Canis lupus familiaris: one gene and its partners. The protein of the gene in region 1 interacts with the protein of each later gene in a biochemical or structural test. Links are inferred from orthologs where the notes say so. Each region holds a gene or a part of one and is shown in the gene's direction. Other genes may lie near its edges.

Evidence for each region.
Region 2: the proteins of RELA (region 1) and CEBPB form a complex in vitro, tested with the Homo sapiens proteins (2 studies listed by BioGRID). The link is inferred for Canis lupus familiaris from reciprocal best matches to the Homo sapiens genes RELA and CEBPB.
Region 3: the proteins of RELA (region 1) and GTF2B form a complex in vitro, tested with the Homo sapiens proteins (2 studies listed by BioGRID and IntAct). The link is inferred for Canis lupus familiaris from reciprocal best matches to the Homo sapiens genes RELA and GTF2B.
Region 4: the proteins of RELA (region 1) and RXRA form a complex in vitro, tested with the Homo sapiens proteins (2 studies listed by BioGRID). The link is inferred for Canis lupus familiaris from reciprocal best matches to the Homo sapiens genes RELA and RXRA.

What each region holds. Positions count from the first base shown.
Region 1 is NC_049239.1:52,050,698-52,054,854, forward strand, and holds the start of RELA (transcription factor p65), read left to right. Parts: upstream 1-1,354; 5' UTR 1,355-1,369; coding exon 1,370-1,439; intron 1,440-1,670; coding exon 1,671-1,697; intron 1,698-1,780; coding exon 1,781-1,953; intron 1,954-2,093; coding exon 2,094-2,242; intron 2,243-2,866; coding exon 2,867-2,958; intron 2,959-3,523; coding exon 3,524-3,655; intron 3,656-4,157. UniProt on the Homo sapiens protein: NF-kappa-B is a pleiotropic transcription factor present in almost all cell types and is the endpoint of a series of signal transduction events that are initiated by a vast array of stimuli related to many biological processes such as inflammation, immunity, differentiation, cell growth, tumorigenesis and apoptosis.
Region 2 is NC_049245.1:37,284,667-37,288,258, forward strand, and holds CEBPB (CCAAT/enhancer-binding protein beta), read left to right. Parts: upstream 1-1,244; 5' UTR 1,245-1,342; coding exon 1,343-2,383; 3' UTR 2,384-3,084; downstream 3,085-3,592. UniProt on the Homo sapiens protein: Important transcription factor regulating the expression of genes involved in immune and inflammatory responses. Also plays a significant role in adipogenesis, as well as in the gluconeogenic pathway, liver regeneration, and hematopoiesis.
Region 3 is NC_049227.1:60,008,311-60,012,607, forward strand, and holds the start of GTF2B (transcription initiation factor IIB), read left to right. Parts: upstream 1-1,489; 5' UTR 1,490-1,631; coding exon 1,632-1,648; intron 1,649-4,297. UniProt on the Homo sapiens protein: General transcription factor that plays a role in transcription initiation by RNA polymerase II (Pol II). Involved in the pre-initiation complex (PIC) formation and Pol II recruitment at promoter DNA.
Region 4 is NC_049230.1:50,540,150-50,544,420, forward strand, and holds the start of RXRA (retinoic acid receptor RXR-alpha), read left to right. Parts: upstream 1-1,463; 5' UTR 1,464-1,517; coding exon 1,518-1,545; intron 1,546-4,271. UniProt on the Homo sapiens protein: Receptor for retinoic acid that acts as a transcription factor.

The sequences.
Region 1 (4,157 bases):
CCCGCTGAGAGGTCATTTGGTGGGTAATTAGTGGAAATGCTTTGGACCCTAGCAGTAGGCCCTGGAGAGACGAGCGGAGGCGGGAATGACCCTGTCGGTTTAGGCGGCCCCAGAAGTACCGGACTTTCTAAGAAGGATATCTGGCTGCAGAGACGAGGCTCCGAAGATTTACCCCTGGGCGCCTCTTGTCCATCCATCGCCCCCGAGGGCCGACAGTATGGAGGAACCGTAAACGCACAGGCTTCTTAACCCTAAAAGCCCTCAGGTGCCCCCTCGCCAGCGGGAGCAGACGCGGCGCCACCTGGGTCGCCCTCGAGCAGCAGGCTCCACAAAGCCCACGGTGCAGGCGCTGCCAGGTGGAGAGATCAGGTCGTCCCCCTTCGCCCCCACGGCGGTGGGTGGCTAATTAAAAAATGCTTATGCCGCGACCACCACCAAGAGGCACCTTTAGCGGTCAGAAGCCCCGTGGAGTTCGGTCACCTGGCCTTTGCGGGCGAATTAGGCCCGGGCCTTTCCCTGCGCAGGGCAGGCGGCCGCAGCCAGCAGTCCTGGCTGGGCTCCAGACCGGGCCCGGTGACATCACCAAACTCCTCCGATCAGCGGGAGGGGGCCCCCGAAATCCCCTAAAAACATTGTGAGTAATCACCGGGCCCGCCCTCCAGACGGAGCCCAGACCGGGGAGGGAGCCCAGCAGCCCTGCCAGCCCCGGAGCGGCGTCGGGACGAGCAGCCTCTTAGTCCCCGGAGCGGCGCAACCTGTCCCCAGCCTCGGGCCGTGGCGTCCGGCGCGCGGCCTCTCCGTCGTCGGCGCGGGGCACAGTTGCCCCCCGCCCCGCCCCGCCCCAGGGTGGCGGCGGCAGCGGCAGCGGCAGGGGCTGCGGCGGCCGCGGCGGCGGCGGAGGTGGCGCAGCGCGCAGGCGCGGCCGGATTCCCGGCAGTGACGCGGCGGCGGGCGCGCGCGGCGCATTTCCGCCTCTGGCGAATGGCTTGGCTGTAGCGCGCGCCGCGGGCCCAGCTGCGACCCCGGCCCCGCCCCCGGGACCCCAGCCATGGACGGTGAGGGCGCCCTCTGACCCCGCGGGGTGGGCGCGTCGGGGCCGCGGGGATGGCGACGGGAGCCCCCGCGCCGCCTTCCGCCCCTTCCTGCGCCGGCGGGTGCTGCGCAGGGAGCGGCCGGCCGGATGGTGGCGCGGGGCGGGGCGGGCTTTGAAGGGTCTGACTCAGTTTCCCCACTGGGTGGCGGGGTCTTGACTCCGTAATCTCCGGGGTGGCGGGGAGCTTCGGCCCAGCTTCACTCCGGGGCCCTGGGCGCAGGTCTGACTTCGTTTCCTCGTTAGGGGAAAGTGTATCCGACTCCGTTTGCTCTCAGGATGAGGCGTGGGGGTGCCCTCCGTAGTTTTCCTTTTGGAAGTAGAACAGCCTCTGACTCCGTTTCCCTCAGTAAGGAGAAGGCGCTCTGGCCAGTTTTCCCTCGGGAAACAGCTGTTTCTGCCTTCTTCACCCCTTCCCCTTAGTTTCACCGCAGGTTCCAGGGAGCGGGCCCTGCCCCAGTGCCCTTGGCGGGGAGGGAGCCTGGCGCTCTGTCCTCTCCGTGAGGAAGCAGGCGCTCCCCGGTAAGGACGGAAAGGGGGAAAGGGGGCTTGTGCTGATCCTTGTCTCCCTCCCTTTCAGACCTGTTTCCCCTCATCTTCCCAGCTGGTAAGTGGACCGCCTTCCCTCTCGGTGATTGGGGGAGGAGTGCCCTGGGGTTAGGGGCGAGGAGGGCAGCCGCCTGATTGGAGCTGGTCCGGGTCTGGCCACAGAGCCCGCCCAGGCCTCTGGCCCCTATGTGGAGATCATCGAGCAACCCAAGCAGCGGGGCATGCGCTTCCGCTACAAGTGCGAGGGCCGCTCAGCGGGCAGCATCCCGGGCGAGAGGAGCACAGACACCACCAAGACCCACCCCACCATCAAGGTCAGCATGACTGTTAGTGGTGGTGTGGGGGGCACAGGGTGGGTTTGCCGCCTCCAGGTGGGGGGTGGGGCTGGGTGCAGTGTCTGGGAGTTAGGTTTGGACTTCCCGGAGTCTCTAGAAGTTCTCTGTACTTTGAACAGATCAATGGCTACACGGGGCCAGGGACAGTTCGCATCTCCCTGGTCACCAAGGACCCCCCTCACCGGCCTCATCCCCATGAGCTTGTGGGGAAAGACTGCCGGGATGGCTTCTATGAGGCTGAGCTCTGCCCCGACCGCTGCATCCACAGGTGAACTCCTGACCAGCCGGGTATGGGGGGTGAGGTGAGGAGACGGGAGGCTGGGTGGGTGTGTAGCTGTTATAGTGTTACTCCATTCTGGACACTGGGAAGAATTCTTCACTTCTAGCTTTGCAAGCAGATTCTCTTTGCCTTGAAATCATCTGTGCATCTCAACTGTCAAGTAGATATGAGCTCCATGGGATAGGAATGGATCCCTAATAACCTCTGAACCCCCAAAGTAACTTCACTGATGAAAATAACATAGTTAGGTTGGAAGAATAGCCCACTGGTGGAGGGAAGGTCGGCAAGTTGGAGGTCAGGAAAAGCCTCTCTGTTAAGGCTTGAATAGTGAGGAGAGCAGAGAAGCATGGGAAAAAACATTTCAAGCAGAGTGAACAAATGCAAAGGTCTTGAAGTGGGGGTGAGTTTAGGGTGTTTGGGAAACAGAAAAGAAGCGGCTGTTACTGAGGGTAGGGAGCCCAGGCAGCAGGGCACAGATGCTTGTCAGCCAAGGTAAAGAGTGGGTTTCTTTACAGCACAATAGGAAGCACAGTGGTGATTTGGTGAATGGGGAGGGGAGGGAGGAACAGACTGGGCAGAGACAATGGGACTAATACATGGAGAGGGACTCAGCTTCCAGAACCTGGGGATCCAGTGTGTAAAGAAGCGGGACCTGGAGCAGGCCATCAGCCAGCGCATCCAGACCAACAACAACCCCTTCCAAGGTGAGGGCTGAGGGATCCCTGGGTGGCGCAGCGGTTTGGCGCCTGCCTTTGGCCCAGGGCGCGATCCTGGAGACCCGGGATCGAATCCCACGTCGGGCTCCCGGTGCATGGAGCCTGCTTCTCCCTCTGCCTATGTCTCTGCCTCTCTCTCTCTCTCTGCCTGACTATCATAAATTTAAAAAATAAAATAAAATAAAATAAAAAACAAGTTGAGGGCTGAGGGAGCAAAGGCTGAGACCTGTCCGAAGCACCCCCACCCTCTCTGGTTCTTCCAAGCCACCTCCCTTATTGGCCAAGACTCTTAGTACTGATGGAATTTTGCTGCCCATTCAGTACCCACTCCCATTTACCACTGGGGAAACTGGGAGCCAGTGAGGGGGCATAACACCCAGGGGCACAGGTGGGTCACACAGTTCAGTGATGGGTCTAGAATCTTCTCTCTCTCCTCCTTTAGGACTCCCACTGTTTGACACACCCTCAGACAATGCTCCCGGGTCCAGAGCTCCCTGCCCCCCTCATCCCCTGCCACGCCTCCCGGTCCCCTGACCGTCTATTCTTGTGGCAGTTCCCATAGAAGAACAGCGTGGGGACTATGACCTGAATGCGGTGCGGCTCTGCTTCCAGGTGACAGTGCGGGACCCGGCAGGCAGGCCCCTGCGCTTGTCACCTGTCCTCTCCCATCCCATCTTTGACAACCGTAAGTGACCAAGGAGCCATGGGAAGGGTAGAGGGAGGGACAAGCCTGTGAGGAGGAAGGGGTTGGTGGGGAATGGCCCACTAGAGGAGCTCTGGCTTCATGCAGGCATCTAGTGTATTTGTCACCTCTTCTGTGTCCAGCTCTGTGCTGGCTGTGGTGGGGGTTGGGGGGGGGGGCGGTTAATGAGACAAAGAAGACCTGGATCTGCCCTTAAGGTGTTAGCTTCAAGGCTGGCAGGAAGTCAGATAGAAGACAGGTACTTGGAATATGTGATGGGAGGATGGTGTGCCCGTAACTGTACTAACGACTCTGGGAAATGAACTCCTGGGAACAAGATGATGTTACAGAGTAGTACTTCAATGATGAAGCTCATAGGAAGTTCACAGATGGGGACGCCTGGGTGGCTTGGCAGTTGAGCGTCTGCCTTCAGCTCAGGGAATGATCCTGGAGTCCTGGGATCCTGGGATGGAGTCCCACATCAGGCTCCCTCTATGGAGCCTGC
Region 2 (3,592 bases), on another chromosome or scaffold:
GGTTGGCAAAAAGGTCTTAGGGTGCTCTGATAAGAGCTTTTAAGACTAGTGGGGGACATGAGGCCCTGTGACCTTGGGTGTCCTATGCCCCCCCCCCCCCGGGCTTCTTTGTACCCTGTGGGAGGGAGGTGGCTTCTTTCTGATGTGCCTCCCAGAGTGGACCTCAAACTTAAATTAAGCCTTCTGTTTGGGAGTCCGTGGTGGAGACAATGATACAACTAATAATAATAACCGTAACAGCACTTTCATGGAAGGAGCTTGGAGTGAAGTGACTCGCCCAAGGTCACGCAGCGTGGCCGCCGAGCACCCCCCACCCACCCCCTTCCACCTCCCTGGGCCCAGGTCAGGGTCGGGTGGGGCCAGAGAAGACCCAGGTGTGGTCTAAGGGGGCGGGCAGGGCCGGTGGGCGGGGCTGGGGGCGGCGCAGTCGCCGCGGCCGAGGTCCCGGTGGGGCTCTCCCCCGAAGTGCCCCCCACCGGGGTCCTTGCGTTAGACGTGCCTTTAGGAGGGGCGGGGGGCCTCCCCCAGCGTGGAATCCCCTCCTTCCGAGGGCTGGGGTTGGGAGCAAGTTTTGGGGCGGGGAGGGGCCGGCCGCGCGGGGGAAGGACGGTGCAGGTGGGTCACCTCTCGGGGGGCCGGGGCGGGGCCGGGGTCTCCGGGATCCGGCCTGGGGAGCGCCGGCCTCCTCCGTGGGGCGTCCGGGCGGGCTCGGCGGGTCCCGAAGCCTCCGCCGCCTCCAGCAGGGGGCGGGCGGCGGCCGTGCTTCGGGAGGGGGAAGGCGGTCGCGCTGCCCCCTCCCCGCGGCCCCCCCGGGGCGGCCTCCAGCCCGGAGGGGGCGGTCCGGGGGCGGGGTCGCGCCGCCCCTCCTCGCTCCCAATCCCCGCGCCGCCGGGTGGGGGTGGGCAGGGGGCGTCAGGCCGCCCCCCCGCGGGCCCGCGGACCCCCCGAGGGCGCGCCCCGGCTCTCGGGTCGGGCCGCCGGGCCCCGCCGGCGCCCTCGCGGGGGTCTCGGGCCGCCACCCCGCGTCCCGGCGGCGGCGGGAGGGGCCGGGGCGGCTGCCAGCGTGACGCAGCCGTTGCCATGGGTCGCCTTATAAATAACCGGGCTCGGGAGAAACTTTAGCGAGTCAGAGCCGCGCACGGGACCGGGAAGAGGACCCACGCGAGGGTCCAGCCGTCAGCCCCCGCACCGGCAGCGGCCCCCCGGCGGCAGCGGCCCCCCGGCGGCAGCAGCGGCGGCGGCGGCGGCGACCCAGCGGCCACGGTCGGAGCCGGGAGGCCGCGCCACCTGCGGGCCGGCCGGAGCGGGCAGCCCCAGGCCCCCTCCCCGGGCACCCGCGTTCATGCAACGCCTGGTGGCCTGGGACCCAGCATGTCTGCCCCTGCCGCCGCCGCCCGCCTTTAAATCCATGGAAGTGGCCAACTTCTACTACGAGGCGGACTGCTTGGCTGCTGCGTACGGCGGCAAGGCGGCCCCCGCGGCGCCCCCCGCGGCCAGACCCGGGCCGCGCCCCCCCGCCGGCGAGCTGGGCAGCATCGGCGACCACGAGCGCGCCATCGACTTCAGCCCGTACCTGGAGCCGCTGGGCGCGCCGCAGGCCCCGGCGCCGGCCACAGCCACGGACACCTTCGAGGCGGCCCCGCCCGCGCCCGCCCCCGCGCCCGCCTCCTCCGGGCAGCACCACGACTTCCTCTCCGACCTCTTCTCCGACGACTACGGAGGCAAGAACTGCAAGAAGGCGTCCGAGTACGGCTACGTGAGCCTGGGGCGCCTGGGGGCCGCCAAGGGCGCGCTGCACCCCGGCTGCTTCGCGCCCCTGCACCCGCCGCCCCCGCCGCCGCCGCCGCAGCCCGCCGAGCTCAAGGCGGAGCCGGGCTTCGAGCCCGCGGACTGCAAGCGGAAGGAGGAGGCCGGGGCGCCGGGCGGCGGCGCCGCAGGCATGGCGGCTGGCTTCCCGTACGCGCTGCGCGCCTACCTCGGCTACCAGGCGGTGCCGAGCGGCAGCAGCGGGAGCCTGTCCACGTCCTCGTCGTCCAGCCCGCCCGGCACGCCGAGCCCCGCCGACGCCAAGGCGCCCCCGGCCGCCTGCTACGCGGGGGCGGCGCCGGCGCCCTCGCAGGTCAAGAGCAAGGCCAAGAAGACGGTGGACAAGCACAGCGACGAGTACAAGATCCGGCGCGAGCGCAACAACATCGCGGTGCGCAAGAGCCGCGACAAGGCCAAGATGCGCAACCTGGAGACGCAGCACAAGGTCCTGGAGCTCACGGCCGAGAACGAGCGGCTGCAGAAGAAGGTGGAGCAGCTGTCGCGCGAGCTCAGCACCCTGCGGAACTTGTTCAAGCAGCTGCCCGAGCCCCTGCTCGCCTCCTCCGGCCACTGCTAGCGCGGCCCCCGCGCGCGGCCCCCCGCCGGCCGGCCGGCCGCCCGCTCGCTCCGCCCGCGCGCCCGCCCGCCCGCGCGCCCGCCCGCCTGCCCGCGCGCTGCCGGCCGCGCCGCGGGGACCCGCGCCCCCGCCCCCGCCCCCGCCCCCGCCCCCGGGGCGCCGGCGAAACTTTGGCACCGGGGCGCTTGGCGGCGCGGGGAGCTCGTCGGTAATTTTAATATTTTATTATATATATATATATATCTATATTTTTGTCCAAACCAACCGCACATGCAGACGGGGCGCCCGCCCGTGGTGTTATTTAAAGAAGACGTGTCTATGTGCACAGATGAGTGACAGGCTCGCTGCCTCCCCTGCCTCCTCTCCGGGCGCCGGCGGGCGGGCCGGTTCCGAAGTTGATGCAATCGGCTCGAACATGGCTGAACGCGAGTGTACACGGGACTGACGCAACCCACGTGTAACTGTCAGCCGGGCCCTGAGTAATCGCTTAAAGATGTTCCTACGGGCTTGTTGCTGTTGATGCGTTGTTGTTGTTGTTGTTGTTGATGTCGTTGATGTTGTTGTTTTTTGGTCCTTTTTTTTTTTTTGTATTATAAAAAAAATAATCTATTTCTATGAGAAAAGAGGCGTCTGTATATTTGGGGATCTTTTCCGTTTCAAGCATTAAGAACACTTTTAATAAACTTTTTTTTTTTTTTTTTTTTTTTGGAGAATGGTTAAAAGCCTTTTGGGGGCAGTAGTTGGCTTTCGATTTTTTTTTTTTTAATTTATTTTTTGGTTTAGATGATTTTAGATGTGCTTTCCTGGATGGGGGTGTGTGGGGGGGTAGGGGGGGGTGGGGTTGTTGTGTGTTGGGGGGTTTCTATTATTTTGGGGGTTTTTTGGTGGTTGGGTGGCGGTGTTAACAGCTGTGTCGTGTGTGTGTGTGTGCTTTTTTTTTTTTTTTTTTTTGGTCCTCCCTCCACTGCTGCTCCCTCCAGGGTCTGTGCTTGGAGGTGGGGGATGCCAGGTTTCTGGGGCTCTCAGGGTGACTCAGCGCCCCTGAGTGCTGGGGAGGAGTGACCCGGAACCCTGCTTGGGAAGAGGTCGGCTTGTCCCGAGTGCCAGGCTTGAGTTTAGAGGGAGGGACCTGTACGTCTGTGACCTCTGTAGGGTCCGGTGTTTGGGGGATCCGGCTAGCAGGCCACATTATGTAGGAAGAGGGCGTAT
Region 3 (4,297 bases), on another chromosome or scaffold:
ATCAGATGTAAAGATTAAATGGGATAAATGTTGATGAGAGGCTATATAAATTGCCAGTGTTGTACAAACACAAGAATGGCCTACCTAAATTGTTTCTACTTTAACAAAAAGAAATCCTAACTGGCTTATGACAGATAAGAGACTCTCCAGGTGGGGCAGAAGTAATTTAACAGGCCGTCCAGCTTCTTTCCTCCCGGGTTTCAACTTCTCTGATTTCTTTCTTCTGCAAACATTACCGCATGCCCACTAGGTGATATAGGTCCTTATTCTTGATCTTCCAGAAGGGCCTAGCTGTCCTCCTTCTGGTCTCCCCCTTCTTCTTCCAAGTCAAGGTGTTCTATCTATAAAAAACGTCCTGCCTGCATGGGGGGGGGGGCACCCCCAACCCTTTTTCTGGTTGCATTTGGCACAGCTGAAATGAACTGTTATTTGTGAAACTTTTCCAGGTATTAAGAGAGACCCTCACCTCCCACCCCCCACCAGCCAAAGTACAGTCAAGTAGTCAAGTTTTTAAATTACAGAATTACAGATTGGAAGACTGGGAGAAGAAAAAAAAGAAAAAAGAAAGAAAAAAGAAAAAACTACTCTCTCCTCTCCAGCTGGATTTCAGTTCCTAAACTTCTGCTTCTCACACCCTTGTTCTAAGGAAGTGAGCCTTTCCCACCTTTCAAGAATACAATGAGGGCTCAGTGGCATGTAAGCCCCAAGCCCAAGTGAACAAAGCAGCCACTATATTCTGTCTTCATCCCCATAGAAACCTGGAGCACCCTCTTTCCTCTGATTCCCACAGGGTCAAGGTTGGTTTATTTTCAGCAGATGGGTGGCGAGGTTATTGTTATTTATTGCCACTGTCCTGATGTTAGTTTGGCTAAGTAATAAACCGAGGGTCCTTCTGGGGCATGGAACCTTCCACGGAGCTCTCTGTGCTTCGGCTAATCAACCAGATTTTGCAAAGGCCACGAAAAAAAAAAAAAAAAATCAGGCCTGCGCCGACCTCTCCCGGCCTCCGAGGCGAGGGCCGAGCGCCCTCCCGAGGGCCTGCTCCACCTCCCGCCAACTCGGAAAGCGCCTGCGGAGCAGAGGGGGGCCCCGCTTGCACCCAAAGGGGAGAAGAAACAGCTCGGCAGCCGACGGCAGAGCCGACATTGACACCTGTTCAGGCGGACTTAGGTGAATCTCCCTCTTGACTCCTAATTCCTTAAGTGGAATCGCCCCTAAGCACGAGTAAGGACTGCGCTCGAACCCCCGGCGGGGAGGGAGCGGGGCGGTGGAGGGTGCGCCTTCGGGGGTGCGGGCTTTGCAGCCCCCGCCGGGCCCGGGCTGTCTCCGTGTTTGAACTCGGCCCGCCCTAGAGTCACCGCGAGAACCCCCCCAGGTCGTCGAGCTGGCTCGCGCCGCAGCACAGCAAGTCAAGGCAACGCAATAGGAAGATTGAAAAAAAAAACGCGAAGCACGTGGCACCCAGAAGCTCACTTTTGTTGGCCCCTCTCCCGACCCGTAGCCGCGCCCTATTATGACCACGTGGGAGGCTCGCTCTATAAAAGCCGGGCTCGGAGCGTCCCGTCGCCACAGTCGCTTCCTGTTCTTGGCGCGTCGGTCGGCTCGTCGCTGAGGCCGCGGGGGCCGTGAAGATGGCGTCTACCAGCCGGTTAGTACGTCCGGCCGAGCCGCGCTCGCTGAGGGGCGGGCGGAGAGTGCCAGAGTGGGCAGGCGGGCCCCGGGGGGCCGTGTCGGGCAGAGCGTTCCGGAGGTGCGGGGGGAGGCGGTGGACTGGCTGGCCGAGCCGGACAAAGGCGCTTCCAGACGGCAGGGCTGTCAGGGGCGGCTCAGGGGCTGCCGACCGCGGCGCTCCCACAGCGGCGGTACCACCCGACGTCCTGGCTCGTGAGCTCATCCGGCCGCCACCCTGTGAGGGCCGCTGTGTCCCCAGCCCCCCCTCGTTTCGCGTCTTTTTTTGGGGGTGGGTGGGGGGGGGTGGATATCTTAACTGTGGTGTTTTTGTTTTTGTTTTTTTTGTGTGTGTTAATTTTTTTCTACGCTTGTTTTTCCAGCTGTGGCTCAACCAGCCCACGATCCTTTCCAAAAAGCGGGAAAGGGTTAGTTCCAGGCCCCTGTCGATCTGACAGCTGTAGAGTTAGGGACGTCAGCCCGAGGGGAACTGATTACCGTCCCAGAGGCCTTCCGAAATGGAAGCTGGGGGCGTTTCCGAAGAGTTGAGAAGTTCCCTTCTAAGAGGTTTATATTTTTACAGAGGTCTTCTGCATTCTCCTGAAGAAAATCTTGCCTGCAGACAATTGCTTACATACGCTGGGAAGTTACTAAGTCTTTTTTTTTTTTTTTTTTTTAACACTAAGATATTTTTTTTTTTAATGTGATATACTCCTATCTACAGGAAATAAGTGCAGTGCCCTTAAAGACAGCCTTTAATCCTGTGGTCCGAAAAAAATGTTTGTAGACCCTAATTAAGTCTCTCATTACCACTACGAGGTAGATATTAGTATTTTTGCATAAGTGTAAACTGAGTCATGCCGGTGTTGACTTTTCCAAGGTCAGTGTCAGAACAGAGTGTAGAATCCCTTATCAGTTTCCTGTTACCACGCAGCTGGCCTCTAGTTAGCTCATAATGTATTGAAAGTGTCAAGTTCTATAGCTTCTGGGGAGGTAACTGGCATAATTTTTTTGAATTTGTTATCCTCTGTGAGAATTGAGTTCCCAGTAAAAGCCAGTATCACAAAACAGCAAACTGGAGAAGTCCGGGCCCTTTTGTGGTACTGCTAAGACTTACTGCTTTATGTTACTGTACTTTTTAAGGGGGGAAAAAAAAACGGTGTTGGGGGAGGCAGTGTTAGCTAAAACAACTTGGAAACCACTCAAAGCCAGGGACACTCTTGTTTACTGATTGTACTTCTGTGATTGAATACTCAATCATTCGGTCTGGGTGTGGCTCTGTTGGGAAAGGCTTTTCTTGTAGGTAAGTGGAAAACTTGAGCTTCCTGAAGACACCTAACTACCACGTCTTAGGGCAGTAGATCTGAAAAGTAAATGTGGTCACACTTGGGCACAGCTTTTCCATAGGATAGGACAGGAATTTTGTAAGAAAAATTTGCAACAGTTAACTGTAGTTAAGTTCATGTGCTAGATTCTTTATCAAAAGAATACACTTACCATTGTGTGTCTCTATTTTCTTCATTTGTTAAAAAATAATTTTTGAAATAAATTGTTTCTGGACACGTCCAGGTCTTAAATCTATGTGTCATTGAGTTGTCCATCTCTAAATTTTCTACGGGTGAGAACAAAGGTAAAATGTTAGTATTTCTGCCTTTTAGTTTGTTTTTTTTTTTCCCCCCTTGAGGGAGAATAGTTACTAGATTATGAAACTGCCTGGTGTTTTCACAGAGAAAAACACAAATGTTGTGAGTTCAAGTCTAAACTCCACCATTTTTCTGTAATTTCAGGCTAATCGTTTTGTAAGCTTAATCTTTAGAAGGGAAATAACCTTTATTTTGCAGGGTTGCTATGAAAATGAATAATAAGTGTAGCACTAGGCACACAGTGGGGACCCAATAAGTGATCGTTATAAAGTGAGATTTGGGTTTATCTGGCTCCTTAGGTACTCTGAATTGTTTTAATGTCTTGGGTGGTTGTTTACTCCATTCTTTCTCTTTCATTTCTCTCTCTCCCTTCCCCCACTGCCCTACTCTTGTGGCTCCTTTTTGATTACTCTTGTGGATATTCTAATTAAAGTTGACTGCTGTATCATGATTCATTTTATTTTTTTTATTTTTTTATTTTTTTTATTTTTTAATATTTTATTTATTTATTCATGAGATACACAGAGAGAGAAGAGAGAGGCAGAGACACAGGCAGAGGGAGAAGCAGGCTCTACGCAGGGAGCCCGACATGGGACTCGACCCAGGTCTCCAGGATCACACCCTGGGCCGCAGGCGGTGCTAAACCACTGCACCACCAGGGCTGCCCCTCATGATTCATTTTATTTTGGATACGTAACACACAGTAGTACAAAAACAAAAGTGAAAAGAAGTTTCTTGCCTAGCTCTCAGCCATCTAATTCTCCCCTGAAAGCAGCCATCATAACCAGTTTCTTGGTGTTTTCCTAATAGTTTAACAAACTTGTTTAACAGTGCCAATCTCTCTTGTTCCCCCAAAGTCCATTGTAAACAGTTTGCTACCTTTTTACCATTTTTGTGAAGTTAGCACACATTTTAGGTGCACAGTTCAGTTAAAAATGAGCGCATAGACATAGCTACCACCCCAGTCAAGAAATTAATTGCCACTG
Region 4 (4,271 bases), on another chromosome or scaffold:
TGCTCCTGCCCCAAGTGGAATGACAGCCTCCCCCCAGGGCAGGTCAGAGTGGCCCTAGCTCCCGGCTGTCAGGTGGCAGGCAGGTCCTGCTACACTCCCCATTTCACAGAGCAGAAAGTGAAGCCCAGATGGGGGGCAAGGCTAACCCAGTGTCACACTGGTAGCAGCGGTGCACCAGGCAGTAGGACTGGCTTTTTTGTCAATGATGGGGAGTGGGGGTCTCTGGGCAGCAAGGCCATCAACTTCCAATCACTAGCGCCCCCCCCCCCGGGGGGGGGCCAGGATCACCATGTGCAGCCCATGTGACTTTGCTAAGCCCCTCCACCTCCTGGAGCCTGGGTCTCCCTGCCAAGGATGGGTGCAGCAGGGCTTGTGGGGGCGGATGGCGAGGGGGCGCCTCCGGGCTGCATCTGCTCGGTGAGGTCCGCCCCACGCAGGTAACCCTTGAACCCCGACTCCGGCCGCCAAGCGGTCCGGGGCAGCGTGCTTCCTTTCTTTTTTCAGCAAACAAATCAGGAATTTAAAAGTCAGGGCAGAGAAGTAGCCCCGGGGCCCCGAAGTCAGCACCCAACTCAGGGCAGCTCCTCCCCAGCCCGGTGCTTCTAAAGAGGGTCCCCGAAGTCGGAGTCGGGCCGGCGTGCAGGGATCCCGGGCCCCCCGCCCTCCCTCCGGGCCCAGGGTGTCGGCGACCAGGGCTTCCCAGGGGCGTGGAAGCGGGGGTGGGGGGCGGCTGGGGCACAGGCCCAGACGCTGGAGGGCTCGCGGCGGAGGCCCGGCCCGCACCCCTGCGCGAGCTCGGGCCGCCGCGGGCCTCAGTTTCCCCACGTGGCGGCGGGCGGGGGCGGGGCGCGGCGCGGCCGGCCGCTTTGTGTGGCCGCCCAGACAATGGCCCGGCCGCCTAGGGCCCCGCCGCCCGCCCGCCCGCCCGCCTCCCCCTCTGCGAGGAGGGAACCCCGCGCCCGCCCCTCCCCCGCCGCCCCGCGCGGCTCCCGGGAAGCCCGGCCGCGGCCAACTCGCAAGTTTGCGCGCCGCCCGCTCCGCGCTCGCGGCCCAGCGCGCGTGCTCGCGGGGGCGCGGGGGCGCGGGGGCGCGGGGTCCGCGGGGGGGCGCGCGCCGGGCGGGGCGGCCGGGCCGGGCCGGGCCGGGCGGGGCGGGGCGGGGCGGGGCGGCGGCGGCGGCGGCGGCGGCGCTGCGCCGAGTCCGCGCCCGTCGCGGGCCCCCCGCCGCCCCCCCGCCGGCGCCGCGGCGGTCGGAGAGGAGCGGACGCGGGCGCGCGCGGCGGGGGCGCGGGCGCGGGCGGGGGCGCGGGCGCGGGCGCGGGCGCGGGAGCCGGCGGCGGCGCGCAGCGCAAGTAGTTTACATTGTTGGGCGACTTTTGCAACAACTCGCCGCGCCGCGGCCTCCGCGCGCCGCCGCCGCCCCGCCGCCGCCGGCTCCCGCCGCCCGGGCCCGGCCGGCCGCGCCGGGGGCCGCCGCGCTCGCCCCGCCGTCCCGCCCCGGCCGCGGGGGCCGCCGACATGGACACCAAACATTTCCTGCCGCTCGGTGAGTGCTCGCGGGCCGGCGGGGCGCGGGGCGCGGGGCGCGGGGCGGCGGGGCGGCGGGGCGCGTCCCCGGCCCGCTCGGCCCCGCGCCCCCGCGCCCCCCGCGGCCTCGCCGACTTGGGGCGCCGGCCTGGGGCGGGCGGCCGGGCAACTTTTCCCGGGCCGGCCGGGGCGCGGGGCGCGGGGCGCGGGGCGCGGGGCGGGAGCGGCGGCGGCGGCGGCGGCGGCGGGGGAGAGCGGGCGGCCGGCTGCGGGCGGGGGTCCCCCGGCGCCCCCTCCCCTGGCCACGCCGGTCCGCCGGCAGCCCCGGGCGCACAGCTCGCGCCGGGCTGCGCAGGGGCCGGGCCGGGGCGGGCGGAGCAACTTGTGCGCTCCCAGCCTGCGGCCGCCTGGCACCGGGACGGCCTGTGCGCCGCCGCCCGGGCTGCCGAGGCCAGCAGGCCGCCGGCCGGGGACGCGCGGACCCCTCCTCCCGGAGCGGCTCGGCGGGTGCGCAGGGTCACCCGGGGGCCGGAGCGCCGGGAATCCCAGAACCGGCGCCCCCTGCTCCGGCGCACCCGGGCGTGGTGCGGGGCGTTCTCGGGGGCCGGCTCTGCACTTGGGGGAAGGACACCCCGGGCGCGGAGGCTCAGTTCTCCCGCCCTCCCGGTGCCATCCCGCCCAGGGGCTGCCCTGCCCCAGACCGCGTCCCGACTCCAGGCCCCGACCCACGACCCACGTAGCAGGAGGAAGGGGCTTGGCTGGGCGCCCCCAGCCGCTGCCCTCCCTAGGGTTGGGGAGCCTGTGAGAGGCAGGGGAGGGGGAGGGGGTGGGGAGACTTTATGAACGGGCGCCGCGAAGGATATTAATTTGGTGGTGGGGCCGGCAGCCAGGCTGTCAGGCTGGGTGAAGGATCTGTGCTGAATGGAAATTAAAACAGCTGATTATGAATGAAAGCCCTCGGTCAGTTGCCCCTCCTGCCTGCCCACCCCCCTGCAGCCTGGGGCGCAGTTTGGCCACCAGGTTGGCGGTCAGAACCCAGCACAGCTGTACCGACCTTTGCTGAGATTGGGAGGTGGAGGGGAGCCAGTGTGGAGCTGCCTTCCCCCTGCCCATGGGTCAGGGGGAGGATCTGAGCACCCCTAGGTACCCCGCAGCCCACTCACAAACGGGGGCTGCTGCAGGGAGACTGGAACAAGGTTCGTCAGGTTTGTCAGATGGAGGAAGATGCCCTCTCTGATTCTGTAAGGTGAAGATCTCCAAAGGGACCAAGCTGAGTGCCCTCCTTGCATGAGCCTGGTCCTCCCCATAGCCTCCAGAGGTGGACATATGTGCCCATTTTGCGGATGAGAAAACTGGGAGAAGCTGAGGCCACAGGATACAAAGTGGTGGATTCTGGATTTTAACCCCCCAGTCAGTGGGTGCCAGTGTGTGTGGAAGAGAAAATAAAGCTAAGTAGTGTCGTCTTCCTCCCCCTGCCCCCCCCCCGCCCCCCCTTGCTGGTCAAGGCTGGAGCACACTCCTATGTGCACAGAGCTAGGCTCTCCCAGAGGATCCCTTCTGGAGCAGGAACGTCTGGCTGTCTTTGCTCCCCGCCCCGAACGTGGCAGGGCCCTGGCTGGGTACTAGGAGGGGAGCAGGAACAGGCTTTGACGTTCTGGGAGGGTCCCAGGAGTTGGCCCATGTAGGGCTCAGGCTGCAGGGTAGTTGTGCTGGAATCCCCACGGAAAGGGGAGGTCCTGCCTCTGAGCCATTGCCCCAGGAAGCTGGATGGGTCACTCAGAGACTCAGAGGCTTTCCTCCTCCAGGCCGGTGGCCTCCCAGCAGCCCAAGCCCCAGGCTTGAGTGGAGAGTCCTGGGCTCTGTCTGATGACATTTTATTTTTTCTGAGCTTGTGACCAGCTCTGAAGTGCGGTGGAGTTGAAGGTCCGATTAAGCAGCTACTTGCCCAAGCTCTTTTGTAAACACAGCCTAATCCCTCCTGGGGGTGAGTGTCAGAAGGCCCCGCTCACTCGCTCACTCGGCCAGGGCCCGGCTGGCAGCCCAGGCCAGCCCTGGCGCTGCCAGGAAGGCCACACAGCCCTCTACTGTGCTTGCGGGGCCTTGGGCAGAGAGGGCCTCCTCCCCCAGCGCCCCCTGCCTCGGGGCCTGGTGGGTCTGGGCCCTTGCCCTCCTCCACCTGGGAGTTTGTTTCCTAGCTGCTGCCCACCGAGCTACCTGGTAAGGACAGGGACGAGCCCCAGCTATAGATCTGGGGGCTGAGTGGTCTGAGGCAGCCCCTGCTCCCAGTGCCCCCCACACCCATGAGGGAGGCCTACAGAGGAGGCCCAGAGGTCCCAGGCCTGGCCAGACCCGGCTTGGCTAACAGTAGCTCACTAGCTGCCTGAGGGGACAGGGCGGCCAGTAGCAGAGCCACAGGCCCACTGGCCATCCTCTGGGGGACTCTCGGGGGACCTGCGTGAGCTTGGAACCCTGGTAAGGGGCTTCTGGTAACATCAGAGCCCCGAGGGACCCAAAATAGAGCACATTCCGGGGCCTCCCGAAATAACAGGGTCACATGACTCTTTGGAGGCTGGGCTTGGAGGCCGGGCTTGGAGGCCGTCCTGCTGAGGCAGTTCTGTGGAGGCCTGGGCACTGCGGACTGTTGGGGCGTTTGTTTGGGTAAACTCTAGAGGGGGCTCTGTTTGTTGACAGGAGAAGTGTCAGGGCGAGAAAAACAGCCCTGACTGCGGCCTGACCGTGGCCTCT